Solanum lycopersicum: one gene and its partners. The protein of the gene in region 3 binds, or shares a complex with, the protein of the main gene of each other region. Links are inferred from orthologs where the notes say so. Each region holds a gene or a part of one and is shown on either strand. Other genes may lie near its edges.

Region 1 (8,028 bases), on a different chromosome or scaffold from region 3:
TTTCACCATAAATACCCAAACTCCAACAGCAAATTTTACATAACACTGTTCAATTTACACCACACACCTATATTACATCAGTAAGACGCTAAAATAACAGTAAAAAAAAAAAAAAGCTCACCGGAGTCTTCACAACAATTCCAGGGGGTTCTTGAGTGGAACAATCAACTGGTTCTGTGGAAAACCGGTGGTAGTCACCAAATACCGGTTTAATCGACGAAAACTGAAGCTGACGCTTCAAAGATTGTTGCTGCTGCTGCTGCTGTTGGGGTTTCATGATCTGCTAAAACCTTCGTTTTTAAACAACCCCACCTGCTAAAAACTCCCAAAATTCCCAAAAAAATCGATCTTTTTGTTTTCAGTGACAAAACAAGAGATAAAATTGAAAACCCTTTTCGATTCTTGAAGTTTTAGGCATAAGGGGTTTGTCAAAAAAGTGAGAATTGATGGGAAAAAAAGGAGAATTGAGTGGAAAAAGATGAGATCTGAAATTGGGAAAAGGGAAAAAAAAATAGCGGGAAGAGAGAGAAAGGGAAGAACAAGAAGAAGAAAGAGAGGGAATTTGGTTCGGATATATAGGTGGAGGGAATTTGCAGTTATTTGTAAATAAAAAAATACTATATATTATAAAAATTAATTAATCAAAGTAAATAAATGGTACTTTAGTACTATGTTTTTTTTTTTTAATAATATGATTATGCAATTATAGTTTAATGATAAAGTTTGGATTTAGTTTGCACCCTCCATTTTCACATGTCAAATTGAATTCTATGGGCTCCATGAAAAAAAAAATTATTGATAAAAACTTTAATATGTTTAATCAATCGGTTGAAGAAAAATTACTTGCAAAGTAATAATCATATCTAGTCATCGACCATGTATATTAGTTAGTGTACAACATGATAGTACTTATATAGTCATATAACTTTTGAGACGTATTATGTTAAACAAATAACAATATTTGTGTTATTGTAAAAAATATATATTAAGGGTCTATTCGATTAGGGATGTGGTTCGATTCGACTTATCGATTTGCAGATATGTATAATCAATCACTATTCATTATAGATCAGGTTGTCGTTTTAATCGCTAGTGAGATTTTAAATCAAAAGTCACACTACTAGATAAAAAGAAATTTTCAACGTTATCATTGAAACCTAGTGGAGAGTAAAATATATCCAGAGTTTATCTTTTATCTCGTGGAGATACAAGATAGAAAGGTTGTTTTCGAAGACCCCAAACTACTGAAAGGTCATTAGAAGGGGGAGCATTTTCTACAAGTTTTTTCTATTCCATGGTTCGAACACGAGAGTTATGATTAAGGGTAAAGTGATCCGATAGGATCGCGCCGCGACCCTCTAGGGGAAAATAATTGCAAACTCATACTAATAAAGTCACATAGCTCAAGCAAACAAGTGATATTTCACAAGATTTCCATTTCATAAAATCATACACAGGATCTGAATCTCAATGTACCAGTACAGAAAACTAAACATCAATTTGAAGTTTATACATGTTCTTAAGAGTATTGCAGTTGATATACTTCACTATTTAAGTAGATGAGCAAGGTCGGGGTCATCTAAGCTGACATCCAACCATCCCTGTAAACGCATGTATTCTATGTAATGATCGGGTGGCCTTACAGCACGAGGGTTTCTTGGAGTGAAGCCATGAATTCTCTCGAGATCACGAGCAAGCCATCTAACGTATGCTTGATCTAGAGGAGGCACAATCTTCAAAAGCACCTCATCTCTCTCCGGCTTTGCTGGCCTATTTCCCATCACTGGTCAACTTCAAGAACCTGATGACTGATGCAAACAAGAGAATGTGGCAAGACGAAAATGGATATGCTGAAGTTTAACAAACACTAAACCACAAATAGAAAGGCATCTCAATAATCTGAAGATAAAATGGACAATAAACACGCGGAAGGAGGAGCTGTGTGTCAATACTTTCAGGAGCAGTATAGAAAGTAAGAACATCTTGGTAGCATATGATCATTATCAACTTTCTTTTTTCTCAACGAAACAAATCAAAGGCTTCAAGGATAGAAATGCTTAAAGTTCAGAGCGAGAGTGTGAGATAATCAATATAGATGTCTATAAGTAGGATGACTGGACAAAACTAAGTTGCTCCGACTCTTCAAAAATGCCAACAAGTGCGAGCCAGATCCTTCAAAAGTAGCATTTTTGGAGGATTCAACACAAGTTCAATAACATTTTTGGAGAGTCTAAGCTTCATGCGCACCAATATGATTCATCACCCATGCAGCAACAGTCACTCTATTTCACTTTCAGCAATCAGCACTTTTCTACTGGCTGTGTGTAATGACTTTTGAGAACAACTTGATCAAGCATATACAGAACATGGTCTAACAGACCTATTATATAACACTAAGAGCGAGATAGGCTTCCAAATATCATCTTGGATAGCTTGCCGGTCTTATGGTTCTCGTGAGTACCATTCCATAAATTCTGAGTCACTTTGCAGCCAACAGGCACTAGATTCATAATTCACAGAAATTGTTAAGAGTTTTCCATTTTTATTCTTGCTTTGGAGTAAATTTACTAACAAATTTTCATTCAACAGTTTTCTCCCTTGGGGCGGATCTACACCACAAGCTACGGGTTCACAGAATCCAGAGAAGTTTGGCCCAAACTTTGTAATTATGTTAATAATTCACTTAATATGTGTAAATAAGATATCTATCCCGAAACCAGTCGTTGTAGTGTACTAGAATCAAGAACCCACCAGCAACAAGTATCATGTAACTCTTATCTACGGTCTACCAAAGCTCGGACACGGACAGATGGCAAATAATTCTACAAATAAAATGCCAAAAGATCGAAAAAGCATAAAAACTTGATAAGCAATGGCTGATATGGCTACCAGTGACTGCATTATTTGGTTCCTCTCAATCTAAATACAAACTGAAATATGCATCAAACATAAATAGGTACAAATGACTTTAGGACTCAAGAGCAGTTCAATTAACCTGCTGTTCAAAGATATCATCAGTACAGGTTTGGATTATGTACGCCACAAAAGGCATCTTGCACTGATAAATTCTACAATTGCATCATTTTTCCTAATTTAAACGTCTAGTGCTATTTAATTTGCAGTCCAGTACCTTCTTTTATTTGATTAGTATGTTCAATATACAGATGGTTTTAGGTTACCCTCTTAGCATTTGCCCATGGAATGAAAAAGGTTATGTAACTTTTACTAGTAAAAAGAGTTTCAAAACTCGGGAACAACCCAAGCATACCAATTAGGACTATAGTAGAATCTAATGTCATAATAGCACAGTATCAATAACAGCCTGAAATATCTTGGAAGTTTAAATAAAGGTAACAAGATGAATATCATAAAGGAATTCAAGACTAAGGCGCATTTCTATTTCACCGTATTAGGATATGCCAAAGCGTACCAAGTATAAAATGGGGAAAAAGATGACCATAGAACTAACGATTGACATAAAAAAACAACCAAGAAGAATATTATAACCAATCCAAAATATACTCCGATCATCACCAACACAAATCGGAAAAATACATTTTTAATAGTAAGTCTAGAAAAGTCTGATTGTGATTTTGGCACTGTTCAGTCTGTGACTAGAATCATTTTCCACAAATACATGTTAAAATTAGTTAACTTCAAATATAAGAAGTTATTTTTTCGTGTTTGGTTGCTGAAAATGTTTTCCACCAAAAGAGGAAAATGACTTCTCCTCACTTATCTCACAAGTCATGTCCTTTTACTGCTATTTCAATTCTTACTCCATATCGCTAGCTCCAACCAACACAACAACATACCCAGTGACAATCCCGCTAAGTGGGGTCTGGGGAGGGTAGAGTGAACGCAGAGTTCACCACTTCCTCGGCTAGCTCCAACCAATGCTCACATATAATACTCACAACTTATTTTTCGGAAAAGCATTTTCCTTCATGCCTAACACACCTAAATGGAAAAATCACCTTTAGTCCTCATTACAACTATCTCTTGCTCCTTAGCAATACACATCACATTCACATTTACTCTTCTTTTCAAGATAACGCCTAACATCATCTACCTTCCTCCATAGTCTCATTCTCAAACTCTACATCAAAAAAATAATTCCGCAAATAAAGCATTAACCAAACAATTGGTGATAAAGGGTTCACAATTTAACCAAAAAGGACAAGTCTTTAAACCACAAACACAGAGAAATCAGAAAAAATCACAGTACCAACTCTAGTTTGTTCATCAAGATTGCAGTCAGCTAAAATTTGGCACAGGGCTTGCCTAGTGCGATTTGACACATATTACAACTAAACTTAAACATGAGAAAAATTAAATAAAATAAATAGATGAACTCACCGAGGGTCGCAAATCGCAAGATGAAGAACAACCAGAATCACAAAATCCTCTACAAAGAGAACAGAGAAATGGCTGCCACAAATTTGTTCAGCACCAGAGTCGGGTTCCGGGTCGGAGTATTTGTTTTGGGATCGTATAATAAACTCGCCATAAAATGTAAGATTATTTTATTTCAATTTTGATATAGGGTATTACATAGTTTGTTTTTTTTTCTTTTGGATTATTTATCCTACTATTTTCGTCCCTGGGCTGACGAAATAAGTTATGTCGTATGGCTGATGGAATAACTTTTTTTCAAATTAACTTATTTTTAATAAGATAACCACTAAAAGGGATGAAATATTTTATTTTAAAATTAATTATAATTACACTTAATTGTTTTCACAGTCACTATTTTTATACGAGAGATGAGATAAACAAATTTATCCTATTGGATTAATTTTCTATGGTATATATAATAAGATAACTTATCATATGACCACAGATTATTCCAAATTTAATATTCCTTCTAATATCAAATGAACCCTTTTATGTACTACTCATTATTCTTTTAAATATACTCTCATCCTCCTAATTTATATGAAACGGTTGTTAAACAGTTTAAATTTGATCATAAATTTGCTGATAAAATCTTCAAATTTCCTTAAAATTAGAAGATTTCTCTTACTACTAGCTTCTGCGGCGGAATAACGTGGAAGGTCTCTGAAATTGGATTATTTTAGTTGTGATTTTACCAACTGAACACTTAAACCGAATGAAAACTCAAAACTCTTTTGGTTGTGCTATTGTGCAAAGCTGCATCTTCTGAATCATACATTTCATTCTGTACTCATACAAACTGTGACAAAGACTCATGCTTTCAGTAACACAATTTACAAACAAAAAAAGACAACAATGGCAGAAACACAGTTTAGAAAATGTGCCTGCAAATGTGTTCCCAAGTAGCTACTAGCAATAACCAAAACGACAACAGAATGTTTGAAAAATCGAAAGACCATTATCAGCAAGTGGTGATGGGATTATCTTCAGAGGATTCAGCAGCAGAAGCAACTATCAACTGAGGCTCAGGGATGACACCTTCTCTTCGTGCCTTTCTACGTTCACGTTGTAATCTGAAGGACTCTCTCTTTCGGTTTCTATAGCTGTTGGGGTTTTCAGGTTGCACCTCGCGTGGATAAACACTTATCTGCACAGTCAGTATACGTTAATAACACTCGTGTACCACATATCTACAAGCAGTAAGCTAAAGAACTCAACCTTTTTCCTGTCAGGTCCAAACTTTTCAAATTTGACTAGTCCATCAATCAAAGAAAATATTGTGTGATCTTTGCCAAGTCCAACATTCTTTCCTGGGTGGAACTGGAAATATCACCACGAGAACGATTAGGGAACAGAATATATGGCAATGCTAAACGGAGAATGCAACTTTTGAACTACTCTTAGAGCAAACAAACAGACGATAACAGGATCATATCAGAGCCGAAAAAAAGTAAAACTAATACCAACCTCTGGCATAAACCCTTTTACTATCTAACTGATAGAAGACGACATCTACTCATAGCATCATACTGTCAGAAACTGACACTTTCGGCAAAGAAAAAAAACTCAAGTCGGATTATAACAAATGTGCATTTCTTAAAGAGAACTTCCAACTATGTCTTCACGACACGAGCTCAAAACCTTAAACCTTATAGCAATCTGTTACTTCAAATGACAAGATATGTATCCCTCTAGTACCTTGTTTTGTACTCAATCTAACGCCCTCTAGACAATCCACATATTTCTAACAAATAATATACAAACCAAACGAAGAAAGCCAGACGAATGGAGCAGAGTTATTGACAAGATGCCAGGACCTAGTATGTTTGTGAGGTATTGAGCAAAAAAACTGGAATTACACTCTACTTGGGTGGGTTCATCCGAATTCATTTCAAGCACTATTAATTAATCAAAAGAACTATCAGAACTTCCACAGCAAATACGAGTTTTAGGCAAAAATAAAAAAGAGAGAGGAGATCCAGAAGAAGTAAAATTGAAACCTTTGTACCGCGCTGGCGAACGATTATAGAACCGGGCTTGGCGACTTGGTCACCATAAATCTTGACACCAAGCCTCTGTCCAGGAGAATCTCGACCATTCTTAGTGCTACCAGCTCCTTTCTTGTGTGCAGACTCAATTGTCAATGGAGATTTCAACGGGAAGGAAACGGAGAACTTAGGGGCAATGGGAAGAGAAACCCCAAGGAGAGAATTGGAAGATAAGGAGAGTCCTTTGAATGAGGAAACAAGACTCAAACTCACTGCCATTTATACGCTGCAAAGAAAACAAAGAAATTCAGTAGCCTCTCGTGGTACTTACTATCAGAGATGAGAGGCCTAAAGGAAAGGAAGTGATATTTAACAATGGGAAAAATATGAGCATAGAACTACTAAGAGGACAAAACTATTACCATAACAACTACCAAGGATCTTAATCGCCAATCTAAAATTTCCCCGGATCATCGCGAACACAAATTGGAGAAATATATTTTTGATAGTAAGTCTACAGAAGGTTTGACTCTGACTTTAACACTGCTCGGTATGACTAAAACAGTAGAAGAGTGATAAAAATGGTCCTAAACATATTTCCTAAGAAAAAAAGTTTTCCATCAAAAGGGGGAAATAACTACTCTCACTTATGAGATAAGTCATTTCCTTTTACTACGATTTCAGCTCTTTCTCCTTATCGCTCGCTCCAACCACTGTTTAGATAATATTGTCATTTCTTAATACTCAGCTTTATCAAAATATAAAACCAATTTGCTGAGCTTATTATCAATCTTCAAAAAAAATACAAAACACACACTCCTAACAATAGAAGTACCTTAAGTCCTCATTACAACTATCTTTACTCCATTATATATCTCTTGCATTTCAATACACATTACTTCCACTCATTGTTTTTCTTTTCAAAATTACACCAAACATCAACCCCCCTCCACCACAAACGCATTTCGCAAACTCTACACCACAAAATATTCCGCAAATAAGTCCTTACGCAAGCAATTGGTCATAAAAGAACCATATTTAATCATAAAGGACAAGTCTTTAAACCACAAAACAAAGAGGAATCAAAGGAAACCAGTATCAACAACAAAATAAACACTAGTATGTTCATCAAGATTGCAGTCCACCTAAAATATTAGTAGCGGTCAATAAAGTAGATTGATAACCATAACGTCTCAAGTTCAAATCCTAGTGAAGCATAAATACTAACCCCCTCCATTTCAATTTCCAATAGCAACTCTTCAATTCTAACTTTTCACATTAAACAACATTTTGATACATTCGACATAACATTAGTTTTACTTCAACCCCACTTGATTAAAAAAAAATCTTTACTTTCTTATATTATTTGCCAAAGTCGAACCACACAAACAAATTGAAATGGAGAGAATAGTAAACCAAGATTTGCGAGTCAGCTAAAATTAAATACATTTTCGAACACCCAATTAAACATAGTACAAGAAAAAAACATTGAATTTACAGAAGAGGGGAAAAGAGATGAACTCACCGAGGGGATTATGGAGCCACAATGGCAAAATCTTCGAGATAAAAAGATAAGAGAAATGTCAGCCATCCTTTTTATAATATACTTGACCCGTTTTGAATTGGGCTTTTTTTAGCTTGT
Region 2 (8,161 bases), on a different chromosome or scaffold from region 3:
TTGGGTCGAGGTCACAATAGGCAGGGATAAGGGTTGTTGGTCAAACCTCAAAGCTCGAGCCTTATGGATGGTATCAATGAACCATAGTAAAGTGTGGGATTGGGAAGGTGGAGCATTTAAAAAGAATAGGACTTAAATTGGGCGAGTCCTGACCCCCCAATTTTAGTCCAATCTATTTCAACTCAAATAACTTTAGGGTCAACTCAGTTTAATTTTAACTTATTTAGTTTCAACTCAAACCGCTCATTTGACACCCTTATGTGCGACCATTGTTCGATATTTTTTAAATACTTTCAAAGAACTTTACGGCTTAATTTCATTCCAACCGGCTCATCTGAACTCTACCTCTAGTTGTTAGAAACGAGTTCTTATCACTATTACATCAAAGACTTTCTTTGGTTGGAAACAAATTCTCTCGAAGTTAATTGAGAATTAATCATACATAATACAATTTTGAGATAATTTCTTCCACGGTTATATCCCAATCAAACATTTTGATAATAAGGATGAATTTTAAAATTTACAATCAAACAATAAGATTTAAAATTTGCAAACGAAATATGAGAATGCTCATAGAATAAATAAATTAGTATATAACATAGTAAAAAAAAAAGAAATTAAACAAACTAGCAAATTATTTGTGATGGTATAATCCAAGTAGGCGGAGAAATATGACTAAGTGACAATCCAGGATATATAGATTCAACTTTTCCGTCTTTAAAATTATAAGACCCCATATCTCTACCACCATCCAAATAGTCAAATTCGTCCTTCCAATCGTCAGTAAAATATATATAATTAGGCTTGATTTCAGGAAATTTAGTAGAGTCAATTGAGCATGTTCCTGTATTAAGGCCCAAAAAAATAGTTGAATTTCCCAAAGTTTTAATCTCATCTTCCTCTTTTAATTCGCCGCCCTTGACTACATCTACTTCAAAAACTTTAAATTTATATGTCTTATATCTATGAAGCTCCGGATGATGAGCAAATCGGGTAATAAATAATAGTTTATCTGATAGCTGGACCAGGTAATATTGAACTGAAGGCTGCAGAAATATGTCATGTTCGGACCAATAAAGCAAGTGTGGCTCTACTGCGTTTGGTTTGGGAGTAGCAGGCCCTGGAAAACCCAAAATTCACCACTAGCTGTAACATAATAGAATTTACCCTTATAATAATTGATACCCATGACAGCACCCGAATTCTCCATCTCAATATTTGTTCAACTGAGATCTCCAGAAAGCCAAGCGAGTAATATTTGCGTGATAGTTAACCACGAGTACATAATCTGAGGTAACACAAGGACTTGCAGATAAGATAGCATGCTCTAGAAGGTTCCAGAACACTTCATCTCCGAGACCATTAGAAGCCATTAAGTTATCTCGTGAAGGAAGTTGAATTTGGGTACGAGACAAATGATGCAACAAGTTCATCTCTCCGGTAGTATCATCCATGGTGCAGAGCCATCCTTCCGAGGGAAAACAATATCGTTGTCTAGCTTCGGGGAGAAACAAAGGAGTAACTTTCTGCTTGATAAGAGAGTAAAATTCTCGGCAATCATCATGTTTGTCAGCCAACATAAGTAAAGGAGTTTTGGTAAAAAAGATATCAAATTTATGGTTAGGGGTAGTAGCAATTTGCCAAGAGGTACAAACACAAGTAAAGAATAGGAAATCTTTAGGTGATTCAATACGATTTGCAATCATAGCAAGGAGATCCATCGATAATTCTGCCCAGCCGCCTGCCATGAAGAAGAACGAGTTGTAGTTCTATTTTTTTTTTTGGTTACAAACTGCAATATATATTGGCGCAAGTTTTCCTATTTTTATTCGTATTTCTATATTAATAAGGATTTTGAACAAGCCCAAAAATATTTGTATTCATATATTGACAAGGTTTCGTAAGGGGAAGACAAATTAAATACTAATGATGAAGTCAAAAATAGTCTAATTACACTTAATAACTATAGTTTGATAATTGCAATTCGTAACTACATGTTATAAGGATAGTTTGATAATTGCAATTCGTAACTACATGTTATAAGGAGAAGAGTGGCGAGCGAGACTGGAAGAGGGAGGAGAGAAGCGAACGAGAGAGGGCAGAGAGATGAATTGTAATGTATATTGGTTAGATAATTTATATTATCTATATGTATTTGTATATTCTGACGAGAGAGATTAGGAAAGGAAGGAGAGAGGCGAACGAGATTGGGAGAGAGAAAAGACATAGCGAGATATGACAATAATTTGTATAATTCGATTGTACGTTTGTATAATTCACGTATCTTCATATAATTTTGAGTAATATAAAGTCTGGAATTACACAAATATAATAAAATTCGAAATACCGAATTGATACAAGCATAAACATATGAACTTGAAACAATTATACAAAATATATTATACAAATTGCAGTATACAAAATTCAAAAACTACACGTTTATACAAACTTAAAAAAGTTAAAAAAATAAAAATTGAATGTATATAATGACAAAATTGAAAAACCAAAGAAATCATCATCATTAACAAATATAAACAATCTTATACAAATACAAATCAAAAAAAGAATTATTAGTTGCGAATTACACAAATATGACGAATTATACATATACAAACGTGATTAATATACAAATTCAAAAGCAACTCACAAAATTAATGTATAATATTAATCGCAAATAATAATTATAGCAAGTTATATCTATGATAAGTAATTAAATACTATAAAAATTTACTTAACCAGCATAATTATACTTAATTAGAACAGGCGGTAAACACTAAATGCAGATACGGGTCGTTGGGTCACCCGTTTTACAATTCGGATTCGGATAAACTCCATCTTCTCCCTTGCCTCTTTCGCCATAACACTCTGAGAACAAACAAATTGCAGAGCTAAAAGGACTCCAATTGGTTCAGTAAAAATGCTTCTTCACAAATCCAAAATCTCAGTTCAATGAGTATCAGTTCAGTAAACATGTCTTTTTCAACAGGTAACAATTTTATATCAGCAAGGTCCATTCTTCATCCAAAGCCCAACATTCAGCTTCAAAGTTCATTCGTAATCAAATCCCCATTTCAGAAAAGTTATACAAATCCTATTTTTCATAGAAATTTCAGAAAAAGATCACATTTTTACCATTCCCCATATGCAATTCTTGGAAAATGGAGGTCTAATTCGAAGTCCTCTGAAGAAGGGGCAAGCAATAATGAAGATTTTGTGACTAGGGTTTTGAAAGAAAACCCAAGCCAAGTGGAACCCAAATATCTAATTGGGAATAAACTTTACACTCTAAAGGAAAAAGAGGATTTGGGTAAGAAGGGTTTATTGAATGGTGGTGTTTTGGAGATACTAAAAAGGTTAAATATTAAAGGAATGGTGAAGAATGGAAGTGATGAGGGTAGTTTAATGAAGTCTGGGGATGTGTTTTTGAAGGATATTTTGAGGGAGTATAAAGGGAAGTTATATGTTCCTGAGCAAATTTTTGGTGCTAATTTGTCTGAAGAAGAAGAATTTGAAAAAAATGTTGAAGATTTGCCTAAGATGAGCTTGAAGGATTTTCAGAAGTATATGAAATTTGATAAGATAAAGTTGTTGACTTTTAAAGAGGATACTGGAGCTTCTTTGGGATTGGGGTCTAGAGATTTTATTGTTGAGTTGAAGGAGATGCCCGGAGAGAAGAGCTTGCAGAGAACTAAATGGTTAGTATCATAAACTTGTTCATTTCTTTCACTTCAGATTATAGATTTTGATGTTTATGTGATCATTCTACAGGGCAATGAAGCTGGATCAAAATCAAGCTCAGGCTTTACTAGAGGAGTACACTGGGCCAAGATATGAAGTCGAGAAGCAAATGATGGTATTTCATTTATTTTGGTGCTTTGTTCAATAATGCATAGTGACATTAGCTTCATTATCGGATGGGGAAAAAATTAACAACGACAACAAACCTAGTGTAATACCACAAGTGGGGTCTGGGGGAGGGTAGAGTGTAGGGAGACCTTACCCCAACCTTGAGAAGGTAGACAGGTTATTTCCGATAGATCCCCAGCTCAAAGAACGTTAAAAAAGAGGTCATAGCTACTAGCAGAAACAACAATTAGATAATAAGATACCCATGGTTAAAGGAACAACATGTAGAAATAGAAATATAAAATAGGAAAACAAGAATAAAACTAATGATCTATCGGAACTTAAACGTGTAGCTTAAGCAGACGGTGGTTTGCTATGATTTATAAGCCTGAATTAATTTATTAGTTAACAACCACTTGTACTGAAGTATAGTTCTCTTGATGATGTTTTGTTTTCTTATTTGATAGACAATTCTTCTTTTCAACAACATATAGTTATCGGTCATCAACCGAATGCACTGATTGCAAGTTTCAGATGAAAACTTAATTACTGTTTCTCATTATGTCTTGATTCATTGTGGTTACTATCTCTTGACAGGAAATTCCTGTGAAGGTTTTATGCAATTTGCCTTTACTCTCTTCGGGTAAAATGTTAACTAAATTTAGATTATCTGTTTGGCCTAGTGGCTTGGAATCTTTTATTGTTGACTGTTTTCAAAAAAATACTCAAGCTTGCCTGCCTTGTTGTGCTAGTTACTAATTAAACAGAAAAGGCCTTCTTGTGTACAGTTCTAAGAAACACATAAAGAAATATTTGAATTCGACAAAAAGACGAGTAAGCAGACAAGTAGAAGCTGCCATGAGAAAGTAACAATATAGTTGGAGTATATGTGTATTTAAAACTCAAATATAGATGTACCTGCAGACAAAAGCATATCGGCTGCTAATTTGTTACTAGGCACTGAAGTTAATGCTGTTATCTGATGGTTATATTTCTGTTTAACTGTTACCCTTTGTGGGTATAAATTCATTACATATTTAGTTACTCTGGAACCATACGGCAGAGTCTGCATAATGCAGTAGAAAGCTTTTAGGGTTAGCGGAAGATGGTGAAATTTGAAACTGGAAAACACGACTTCAGTTTGGAAAACTTGAGCAATAAATGAGTTTAATGTAGACTGTTGATTCATTTATGTGCAGTCCATTGGGATTTGGGACGAGTTTTTTTCTTTTCCTTTCTTTTGCAGTAAGTATATAGTTGGAGTGACATTTGTTGTGCAGAAGTGATAGCAGCATCTAAATGTCAACTGACAGTCTAAAAAGTGATATACAGAATTGTCTTTCAATCTAATTATATGATGCTTGGAAAGAAGAGCACAATTTCAGTAATCAAATCTGCCATTTCTTTGAGATCATATATTTCCTGAAGTGTAGACAAATCAACGTCGTGTTATACTGGTGGCAGTCTGTATGGTGACTGTATCACGAGGGAAAAGACTAAAGAGTAATTAAAGTATCTGAAAAGGTTCTCAAGTCCCTTAGCATAAGGTTGTTGTATCTCTTCTTTTTAGCTTAAGATTGACCTTATAGTCTCTTGAGCCTTGAAGGAAATAGGTGCTTTCTCTAGTTATGCAATTGGCAAGATTGTAGAACTTAAGTTTGGTGGGATAAGAATGTGGTTTAACGGGTGGAAACTCTTTGCTTTTCAAGTATGTTGGAAAACCTTTCTTTCTTTTTTCTTTTGCCTCTTACATAGTGATCCTATTGCAGTCTTGGGTGGGAAAATTACCTGAGTATCCTAATCCAGCTGCATCGAAGATATCAAGCAGAGTAATGGTAGAACTTGGAATGCTGACCGCTGCAATGACTGCTGCTGCGGTGATTGTGGGTGCTTTCCTGGCTTCAGCTGTATTTGCTGTGACAAGCTTTGTCTTTGTCGTCACTGTGTATGTCATGTGGCCTGTGGCCAAACCATTTCTTAAGCTGTTCTTTGGTCTCATCTTTGGTATCTTGGAAAGAGTGTGGGATAAGGTTGGTGATGCCTTTACTGATGGAGGAATTTTCTCCAAGTTGTATGAATTGTACACATTTGGTGGTGTCTCTGCCAGTATTGAGATGCTGAAACCAATCATGCTTGTTTTTGTGACTATGGTTCTTCTTGTCCGATTTACTCTTTCGCGAAGACCTAAGAACTTTAGAAAGTGGGTGAGTAATACTCCCTGTCCTAGAATTCGCAGTTTAGAAACACCTGCTTCTTGCAAATTCAAAATGTTGTGTGCTTCATTCAGGATATATGGCAAGGCATAGAATTCTCTCAGTCAAAGCCACAAGCACGTGTTGATGTGAGTTTCTAGTTTCTCACACTCTCTGGTCACAAAAATTCACAACTTTTCATCTGTAGATTATGGCCAATATTTTGTCTAAGTAAGAAGTTTCTGTTTAGGGTTCAACTGGAGTCACATTTAATGATGTAGCTGGGATTGAGGAAGCAGTGGAAGAACTTCAAGAGGTAACAGCGCCTTACACCACATATAATACTTCCTTATTGTGTATTCCCTCCATCCCAATTTATGTGATGTAGTTTGTCTGGGCACAGAGTTTTCAGAAATACGAGAAGTGTTTGCCATATTCCAAAACTACCCTTAATAAATGAATTTTTATATAGAAGAGCACATCTTTGTAGACTTTTTGCCAAATAAGTGGTCCAATATGGGTAAAGTGTTGATAGTGTCATTAAACATTTACCAAAGAAGGAAAGTGTGTCACGTAAACTAGGATAGGGAGAGTAATATTCTCTTACATTATAATGTGTGAAAGCTTGTCCCTCAGCCACAACCTTTAGCTTAATGGTTCTAATTCCTTCCATTTTTTGCCAACTAGTTGGTAAGATACCTGAAGAATCCTGAACTATTTGATAAATTGGGGATCAAGCCCCCACATGGAGTTCTTCTGGAGGGACCTCCTGGATGTGGAAAGGTATGCTATCCATTTCAGACCTTAGATTGGATTCCCAAAAAAAAAGTAGAGGGTCTTCACTAAAATTATATATGATGCTTTTCTCAGACCCTGGTTGCCAAGGCAATAGCAGGTGAAGCTGGTGTTCCTTTTTACCAAATGGCGGGTTCTGAATTTGTGGAAGTTCTAGTCGGTGTTGGTTCTGCTCGTATTAGAGATTTGTTCAAGAGAGCCAAGGTGAGCATAATACGTAGTCAATGAACCATGTGACTTCCCTTATTATGTTTTGAATAATGCCCTAATTGTTGTCACAGGTGAATAAACCATCAGTTATCTTCATTGACGAAATTGATGCACTCGCAACCAGGTATGGATATTTGTCTAAATAAGTAATGGTGAACGTGTTTTTTTTTTACTGGTTTAGCTTAGCACAAAGGAAAATCTGGAGCTGAAGCATCTGGGCATTTTTCATCTAAGTAACCCCTTTAGTGGTAGAACTATTGAAATTGGGTTTTAGAACCTGAAGTTACTAATGTCATGTTGTGGACAATGCTAATGTCGTCAGTGTGTAGCTGTCTAGATATTCTTTTTAATCGTAAAGAAATAACTTAGTCATTCATAAATGACATGTAGACACGTGCAGTGGTTATAGTTTCTCAGACTTATTATTCTTAATAAACAGACGTCAAGGAATATTTAGTGAATCAACTGATCACCTCTATAACGCGGCAACTCAAGAAAGGGAAACTACTTTAAACCAGTTGTTGATCGAGCTAGATGGATTTGATACTGGGAAAGGTGTTATATTCCTAGGGGCTACAAATCGAAGGGATTTATTAGATCCCGCCCTTCTTCGTCCTGGTAGATTTGATCGCAAGGTTTGTTCTCCTATTGAATTGAATTCTTTATCAACTCAGCTCCTCATGACTTGAATCACTCTATTCATGTTCTGTCGGTATGTGCGCATTGGTCGGGAGGAGGTAGACAAAATTTTCCATGTTTATAGAACATTCCTATTCATGATGTCTTGACTTACTGATTCTTTCCATAAAGATGTTTCTATATGCTGAATATTTTGATAAAAACTAATCAATCCCCCAAAAAGGTGTTATGATTCCACAACAAACTCTGTAATACAGTATGTTATTTTATGCAATGCCTAGTGTACTGCAAAGTTCCTTTACGAAGTCCTTGGATGGGGCTACTGTATTTGGGCTTTTGAATCCTAATAGGTGCTGTTTATGGGCAAAACATTGTTTGACTTGGAAGGTAGGAATCATTTTTTCGTTTCAGTCGACTTGTTAAATATGTTGAGACGCCGATAGCTTTTGGTAGATTCTATAGAGAATAAGTACCCTGAA
Region 3 (7,966 bases):
GCCTGCCACAGCCGGTTGCACTGCTAAGGAGGCTGCACAATTGTTCTTCAAAAATGTAGTGAAGTATTGGGGGCTGCCGAGGTTCATCATTAGCGATCGGGATCCTCGTTTCACTGGGAACTTTTGGAGTGAACTCTTTGAAATTCTTGGTTCAAAACTTCACTTTTCCACCAGTTTTCACCCCCAAACTGACGGCCAGACTGAACGCGTCAACGCCTTGTTTGAGTGCTATCTTAGGCACTATGTCAGTGCGCACCAGAAAGATTGGGCTAAGCTCCTAGACATGGCGCAATTTTCTTATAACTTGCAGAGGAGTGAATCTACAGGGCGCACACCGTTTGAGTTGGCAACAGGTCAGCAACCCCAATCTGTTGGTTCTATTTGAAAACTATATTTGTGGGGTAGCAAGGTTGTTTCCGATAGAACTGGGATCAAAACAGAAGTTAACCGGAGCAGGGTTGCAAGAAGAAAAGATTTCAGCAAAATATCCAAATACAAAGCACGTGAAGCAATAGATAATAAAAAACATTGAAGAATAATAAACAACATGATTACTTAATACTAATAGGGAAGAGATGGGGCTAGCCCCCTGCCTCCCCCACCTAAAGAATAACAATACTCAACTAACTACTAACCTTCTAACCTAATCCTCGACTTCCTTACTTTCCTACCTAGGGTAATGTCCTCAGTCAGCTGAATTTGTGCCATGTCCTGTCTAATCACCCCACACCCCTCCCTGATTTTTTGTCAGCCTACCTATACCTCTCCTACCTCCTGCTATGACAACCTCTCACGCCTCCTAACGAGCATCTACGCACCTCCCCTTCACAAGCCCCAATTATCTTAACCCCACTTCCCTCATTTTGCATACCATGGAAGCCCACCTTGCCTCATATAACTTGGTTCCTACCCATATCTCTCCTGATATGCCCACACATCCATATGAGCGACCTCATCTCTTACATTCATTTTCTGAACATAGACATTCTTGACTGGACAACACTCCACCCCATTCAGCAATGTGGGTCTAACCACCACTATGTAGAACTTGCCTTAAGCCTAGACGACACCTTATCACATGGTACTTCGAAAATGAACCTCAATTTCGCCCGCCCCGCGCCCATATGATGTGTGACATCATCATCAATCTCCCCGTCTCCTTGGATAATAAACCCAAGATACTTGAAGCTCCCTCTCTTGGAAATGACTTGACATCGATCTTTACTTCCATCTCCCCCTCGTGCATTATGCCACTGAGTTTACTCTCCAGGTGCTTTATTTTAGTCTTGCTGAACTTGAAACCTTTAGACTCTAGGGCATGTCTCCAAACTTTCAGCTTATCATTAATTTTACCACTCATCTCATCAATTGACATTATGTCAAGTTCCAGATGTAAATCACAAAGTAATTGATGACGTCAATTACAAGATACAAAAACACGAGGTTGATCTCGAGGCTCAAAAGTTCCCAAAAAAAAACTTGAAAAATATTTCATTCTCCATTAAGTAAAATTCATAACTTTGCTTCCCTTTCTTTATTTTTGAGAAGTCACAAAATAGAGTGCCTTTAATCAATACGACCAATCTGGTAATAGAATTTCTTGGGACAAAGATAGCAGGAGCCAGCGACTTGCAATAGCCTGTACAGTAATACCTAGACCTCCTTTTAGCTCAATATTTCTATTAATTAACTACTAACTCTTTCCATACCATAACCAGGTCATTCAAAATGCTTAAATGTGAAAGCAAGTAATTTTCTAAATTATACCTTCTTATCCTACCTAACAGGCACCTCTGTTTATCCATGAGACCACAACCTATACAAACTATAATGAACAAACCACTCACAATACAGAGTCTTTAACTTCTAGATCACAAAATTGAAGACCAAGATATGAGACTAAATCAGTAACTACGAAACACCGGTTAAATGAATACAAAGTAACTCTTTACATTTTTTTTCCTGAAAAGTGGTAATGTATACAAAGTAAATCTTACTACAGAGAAAAAGATAAGCTATCGATCGCGATGAGCAACAAAGGGAATTCCAAGATGATTAATCTACTGCTAAATGATAAAACTGCTGATATATAGTACTAGAAAGTAAAAGTAGAAGTGATGATTGCACAACCTAGCATAAGAAGGAAGAACCAAGCATTTTAGCAAAAGTTACCTGTTTCTCAGCCATATATTTTTTACCATGCTCAACATTCTCCAGCAAATCCCTCTTGAGGTCTGCTTTAACATCCTCACGCCATTTCTTCCAATCATGATGCAAGTGGAGGCTAACGGCCTTTGGAACTACAACCTCCTTGTTTCCAAACATCCACTTCAATTCTATTTCAGGGAAACCCTTGACAACTTCATCCACTGGTGTGTTTACAACAAAACGTTTTTCATTGCCATATCTCTTCATTTTTTTCTTAATACGACTCTCAAGATTCCGTTGCATCTCTCTTGAGTCCTTAAGTGCTTGTTCTATTCGCTGACCGAACACCATAGAGTCTTGATCAAAAAGGAGTATATTGTCATCATCTTCCAAAATATTGGGTAGAACTATCTGCTCCAACAAATGTCTTTGAGCAGTTTGCAATTCTTCTTTTATCTCAGATCTAGAAAGCTTAGTGACAGGGCTTTTAGGCACGCTGCAAAGACACACAAGTATATAGAGCAATGTAAATGATTGGGAAAATATAGTTCACAAACAACATCAATAGTAAGTCTTGTTGTAAACAAAACTAACCTCATCTAAAGAACAAAAGGATATCTACAGCCTACAAGAATAACATGCTAAATGTCAATTATCTAGTCGCCAGTATAAAGTAGATTAGCTGACCATGGAACAAGTGCAATTGGCGTTGGAATTAAATTCTAGGTAATAGAACAGTGAACTAAACATTAAAACGTCTAGATAATGTATTGCTGGAAAATACCAAAGCAATTTAGGAGGTTAAATCCTAAAAGAAAGTAAAAGCAATCAGTTCACAACAGAGCCATCTGTTTTAGGTGCCAACTAAGTTATCATGCACAAAGGGGCAGTTCCTTCCCAAGATATCCCCAGAACCTAATTGCTCAAATAAAAAAATAAGGCTCAATGCCAAATTCATGCCAATATCCATCGTTTAAATTAATAAAGCTTTGCTGCCATTGCTTGTACAAAAGATATGTTGCGCTATTATACATCAAAAAAATTGTGTATAAGCTACTAAAATTCTAACAATGTCTTACCTCTCAATGCTTTGCAGCCTCATTTTCCTCAGAAACTCCGTAACCAAGATTTGACACTCCCTCTCAATAGATGCAAGTTCCCTCACACCAATGCTCAATGCAAGTGTTTCTCTCCTCATAATCTCATCATCTATCTCTGCAATCCTCTCCCATACCCTGTTATATTCCTCATCACTCTGTCTCACTTCCTCATCCAATTTTGCAACTTTTTCCTTTACTACTGCATCTTTTTCATTGCCCTTAGCCTTCTTCAATAAACTTTCCTCCTCCCTCTTATTCTTCAGCACTACATCAAGAATCTCGTCGGAACGATTGACCAAGGCATTTCTTTCCCCCTTTAACAATCTCAGTTCCGCATAGAGACCATTCATGATCTCCCCTTGCAACTCATTCCTCTTCATGTTGACCTCCTTTAGCTTTTCCTCCACACATTTCACATCCTCTTTACCAGATTTCACCTCCTCTATCACTCTAAGCAACCCTGTAACCGTCTCTAACAATCTCTTCGTACAATGTGAATATTGATGTCTAGTCTCAAGGGCATCTTTCCGTTTATTACTAGTTTTCTGTATCAGCTCAGCTGCGGCGGGGGGCGGTGCAGCAGCAACAGAAGCAGTAGCAGGGAATTGAAACCCGAAAACCGGGCACAATCCAAATGCAATAGAGAATAATGTGTACACTACAGGCTTTAAGATGGGTTTAAGAGGATTTTGGTCATCTGGGTTTGTGTCTTTTTGGGTGATAGAACATTTTATAAGTCTAGCTGGGGCTGAAGCAATAGGAATTCGTAAAAGACTTATGGGTTTACCTGGTTCATGGGAAGAGAGCTTTTTCGACCGAATTCGGCAATTGGAATGGCTATGGCGATTCAAGAATGGATTTTGAAGATTGAAGAATGCGGCAGTAGTAGTAGTAGAAGCATACATAATGAAGAGGTGTTATCTAGTCATGAAATTGGAAAATGGAGAGTAATGGCATGGTGCAGAAAGTTGAAGAGAAGCAGAGAAGAAGTAGGATAAGACCGGCGTTGGGGTTTTAAGTTTTAACCAAAAAACCCAGAGAAGAGACGGCGAGAGCAAATAGAATCCCAAATTAATCATGGGCTCTTCTTGTTCTAGTCTTTTTGCCATTTCTCTTTTCTTTTTTGTATTTCTTTTATTTTACTATCAAATATTTTTCATTTATTTCAAATTCTAAAATTAGAGTTATATTTGATCATATCTTTTTAATTAAGAACATGTAAAATTTGAATATATATGTTTTTTCAAATATAATTATATTTTTAATTTCTAAATTCTAACAAAATTATTTAACTTAACTAAAAAAAGTAATATCTCAAAATATAATATCATTAATTAGTTAGATCTCTTTATTGGCGCATGTTAAGCGACCTCTAAAATGCATTCTCTCCAATGGTTCGGGGACGAGCAAAGAGGAACATTAATACACAATTACTGGAGAAGAGGATTGAAGAACCTGCTCAAATAAAAAGTATATATTCAAGCTACCGTGGTAGCAATATCGCTAGTTATTTTTCTTTTTAGATTTGTACTTTATAAAATAAGGCAGAAATGGGTTAATTAAAGACATGGGCAAGGAATTCTTTGTTTGTTTCCATGTGTGCTCTATTCTAATATAGAAAATATAGATTTAGGTGACAGTATATATTAGATATGTTTATCTGGTTTTGAATTAGTGAAGAATATGTATATATTTCTCTGCACTCTTGTACCACGGTGAGTGCATCTCATATTGGACGTGTCGGACTATTATGTTTCCAACATCTCGTTGCAACTATGGTCATGTCTATAGGTCTAGGATCAACTTAAGACTTGTCAACGGATCGGAACCGGTTCTCGGATCAAAATGAACCGGTATCGAACCGAACGGGACGTGTTGATCGGTATGTTGATTGGTACTGGAATGAACCAGATTGGAATTACCGAAATAAATAATCGATTCTGTCCCGTTCCACTATATACTGAGATGGAATCGGAAAGAACCGGAATGGATCGTATGAAACGGAACGGGATAAACGGGATGACATTTTTTGAAATTACGAAAATATGATTATTTTTTTTATTTTTCTAAGTTTAAATTAATAGTTTTTAAATTTATACTATAATTTTTTACTTAAGTTTATTTTAAAGATATTTTTTTAATTTTTTATTATTATTAAGTTTGCAAGTAAAGTGTAATAAAGTTCTCAAAATTTAAATCTTTTGAAGTTTATACTTTATAAGTTATTACTTATTATTCATTAATATTTATTTTATAAGTTATATTTATAACTTGTGTCTTGTAAATTATAAATAAATAAAATTTGTAATTTAAAAAAAAAATAAATTAAAATAAGGATAAAACAATTACAAAAATTAAAAAATATCAATTTAATTTATTTAAATTTGTAACAAATTACAATTTCAATTTACAACTATTAGTAGAGTACATAGTTTACGCAGCCACCTTCTAGGAAGGGTTCTGTTTCAACTAAGTCTCGAATGTAATACTAATAGTTGTATGGTCCTGTAAATTCTCTTTCTAACTCAGATATAGATTGATTGTAATCAACTTCTGGTCTTGTTAAAGCTCGTTAACGATCTTGAAGTTCGACGCCATCATCACTACCACATCCAATAGCTGAATTTATGAAAAGTTCAAATTGACTATCTAACCTTGAAAGTCCTTGATTTCTACGCTCAACATTTATCCAGTCTCTAAATAACACTGATATCTTCAAGCTGTCTTCTGCTAACAAATATATGTGGTCTCCAATTTGAAATCTTGTCGCGCTGAAAACTACCTCCGAAGCTACTGATGATCCTTGAATTGCAAGTACATCCTTCACCATCCTACTAAGTTTTGAAAATTGAGTTCCACGATTCCTCCACCAGTTCAATAGTTGCGGTATACCTTCATCGTTTGTAATATCATCCGAACCCTGTTCAAGATATTTAACAAATTTACATTTATTAGAAGAGTCAAGACCAAGTTTATGTTTCACTCGTCCATGAGCACCTACTTGATTCATAGACGTTTGAGGATTTTCAACATTATCTAAGAAAGAATATTTATCATACATTTCTTTAGCAAAGAACTTATACTATTTTGACATGTTACCAAATCAAGTTCTTGTTCAGGTTGAATATCTAAATTCCGATAAATGCATTCAACTAAAGTTTTTGCACCTTATTCTTTATATTCAGAGTTGAAAAGAATTGCAGTTAAATAAATTTAATGGATAGGGGGAAAAAATCTTAAATTTTGTAATCATAACTTCAATAGCAGAGGTAAATAAAGCATTTATATTATATTCAGAAAAGATAGATGAAATCTCACATATGTATATTAAAATTTCAGAAATAGTAGGATAATATATTCTAGAAAAATTTTTAGTAGCATCATAAAATGATTTCAAAAATATTCTAAGTTCATTTACTTCATCCCAATCACTATCATTAAGTTTTAATTCAGGATAAACATTATGATTATTAAATAGCATAGTAATAGGTTGCCTATATGCATAAACAACTTCAAGCATATCATATAAGAAATTCCATCTAGTTTTTACATACTTTAGAACTTTTCTAAACGGAAGTTTAAATGCATTACAAAGTTCTTTAAATTAATTAATTCTACTGCTACTATTTATATGAAAATGTAAAAATAAGCATTATCAATTTTATCACAACTATTTTCAAATGATTTCACAGTGTCACTAACAACCAAATTTAATATATGTGCTGCACATCTAACATGAAAAACATATTTACTAATAGGACAAGGTCTAGGTTCTAAGCATATTAATAGCATTTAAATTAACAGAAGCATTATCTAAAGTAATACTAACGACTTTATCAGAAAGATCGAAAAAATTTAAAATTTCCAACACAGTAATAACAATATTAATTTTGGTTTTTTTCTTTTGACAAATTTTATAACCAAGAATTCTTTTTTGTAAATTTCAATTATAATCGATCCAATGCGCAGTAACAGTTAAATAGTCAAAACCATTAGGACTACGTCCCATATCAGTAGTAATAGCAACTTTACAATTCATTAGTTCAAAATAGGCACGTAAAATATTGACAGTGTTTTTCTTGAAATTCAAAAATATCTCTTTTCACCATGCTTCTTGATAAACCTTTATAACTAGGATTATATGTTTCACGAATATATGCAATAAAACCCAGATGTTCTCCAAAACTAAAAGGTAAATCACAAACAACAACCATTTTAGCAAAGTTTTCACGATCACGATCCTTGTTATAGATTCGATGTGTAAGAGGACCACTTGGGTTCGAAGTATTTAATTCACTTTAAACCATATTTGATCCTCTAACAGATGCTTCAACACTACAATTTTCAACAACTTCAAGAGAAGACATATATGCAAACCACTCTTTACTATACTTGTTAATCAAATGTTTTTTAGTCCCCCGTTGAACCTTCAATCCCACCAGATGTTTGAAATGTCGTTTACAAATATTACATATACTAAAAGTTTTTTCTTCATTCAAATAACAAAAATTTCCACACATGTGATTTTAAAGAACGTTGTACCTTGGTCTTACCTCTAGTTGGAATAATAGGGGGACGAGTAGTTTTAACCGGAGGTGGAGCTTCAGTACCTATACTATTGAGGTCGGGGCTAGTCGGTGTATCATCTAAATCTACTTCTTCATCTAAATTTAATTGTTCATCCATTTTCACTTCTTCATTTTTTTGATTAATACCAT

The links.
Region 1: the proteins of probable inactive ATP-dependent zinc metalloprotease FTSHI 5, chloroplastic (region 3) and uncharacterized protein LOC101244341 are in contact, whole or in part, in a cryo-EM structure (PDB 8XKU), measured with the Arabidopsis thaliana proteins. The link is inferred for Solanum lycopersicum from reciprocal best matches to the Arabidopsis thaliana genes emb2458 and AT5G22210. Residues at the interface, in NP_187084.6 of Arabidopsis thaliana: Lys294, Phe302, Arg305, Phe309, Arg404, Ile405, Arg408, Glu424, Phe431, Pro432, Glu435, Val436, Val446, Val447, Pro448, Lys449, Gln452, Leu453, His454, Arg456, His457, Gly458, Trp459, Lys461, Trp462, Gln463, Ala466, Lys467, Leu470, Lys471; in NP_680207.1 of Arabidopsis thaliana: Glu14, Ile15, His16, Lys18, Val20, Pro21, Pro22, Leu23, Asp24, Val26, Phe27, Leu28, Trp30, Leu31, Arg33, Arg37, Val38, His39, Phe41, Lys42, Pro43, Lys44, Asn45, Thr47, Arg48, Ala49, Ile50, Thr51, Pro52, Pro53.
Region 2: the proteins of probable inactive ATP-dependent zinc metalloprotease FTSHI 5, chloroplastic (region 3) and probable inactive ATP-dependent zinc metalloprotease FTSHI 1, chloroplastic are in contact, whole or in part, in a cryo-EM structure (PDB 8XKV), measured with the Arabidopsis thaliana proteins. The link is inferred for Solanum lycopersicum from reciprocal best matches to the Arabidopsis thaliana genes emb2458 and FtsHi1. Residues at the interface, in NP_187084.6 of Arabidopsis thaliana: Arg815, Gln902, Lys934, Glu938, Arg942, Pro943, Asp947, Arg948, Thr1148, Glu1149, Ser1150, Arg1151, Ser1152, Leu1154, Gln1198, Tyr1199, Trp1201, Asp1205, Pro1207, Ala1208, Val1209, Tyr1210, Tyr1211, Ala1212, Asn1214, Ala1215, Val1216, Ser1217, Ala1218, Leu1219; in NP_567691.1 of Arabidopsis thaliana: Ser497, Val500, Glu653, Leu656, Arg660, Leu678, Arg684, Gln692, Gly693, Arg696, Arg697, Gly731, Gln732, Leu763, Arg766, Val771, Ile772, Tyr773, Gly774, Ser775, Asp776, Thr777, Ser778, Lys779, Ala780, Val782, Leu785, Ser786, Ser789, Arg793.

What each region holds. Positions count from the first base shown.
Region 1 is NC_090810.1:58,845,257-58,853,284, forward strand, and holds uncharacterized protein LOC101244341, read right to left. Parts: upstream 4,493-8,028; 5' UTR 4,360-4,492; intron 1,809-4,359; 5' UTR 1,782-1,808; coding exon 1,548-1,781; 3' UTR 1,401-1,547; downstream 1-1,400. Other genes in the region: transcription factor E2FB, read right to left, coding at 122-277; 50S ribosomal protein L27, read right to left, coding at 5,360-5,545, 5,617-5,718, 6,399-6,665.
Region 2 is NC_090807.1:67,503,585-67,511,745, forward strand, and holds the start of probable inactive ATP-dependent zinc metalloprotease FTSHI 1, chloroplastic, read left to right. Parts: upstream 1-2,785; 5' UTR 2,786-2,949; coding exon 2,950-3,695; intron 3,696-3,768; coding exon 3,769-3,853; intron 3,854-5,615; coding exon 5,616-6,050; intron 6,051-6,133; coding exon 6,134-6,187; intron 6,188-6,288; coding exon 6,289-6,354; intron 6,355-6,725; coding exon 6,726-6,821; intron 6,822-6,908; coding exon 6,909-7,037; intron 7,038-7,114; coding exon 7,115-7,167; intron 7,168-7,482; coding exon 7,483-7,678; intron 7,679-8,161. UniProt on the Arabidopsis thaliana protein: Functions in chloroplast biogenesis and chloroplast division. Required for plastid development during embryogenesis. Might be involved in chaperone functions or play a structural role in the thylakoid FtsH complex.
Region 3 is NC_090801.1:45,931,544-45,939,509, reverse strand, and holds the start of probable inactive ATP-dependent zinc metalloprotease FTSHI 5, chloroplastic, read right to left. Parts: upstream 4,358-7,966; 5' UTR 4,154-4,357; coding exon 3,228-4,153; intron 2,645-3,227; coding exon 2,173-2,644; intron 1-2,172. UniProt on the Arabidopsis thaliana protein: Required for plastid development during embryogenesis. Might be involved in chaperone functions or play a structural role in the thylakoid FtsH complex.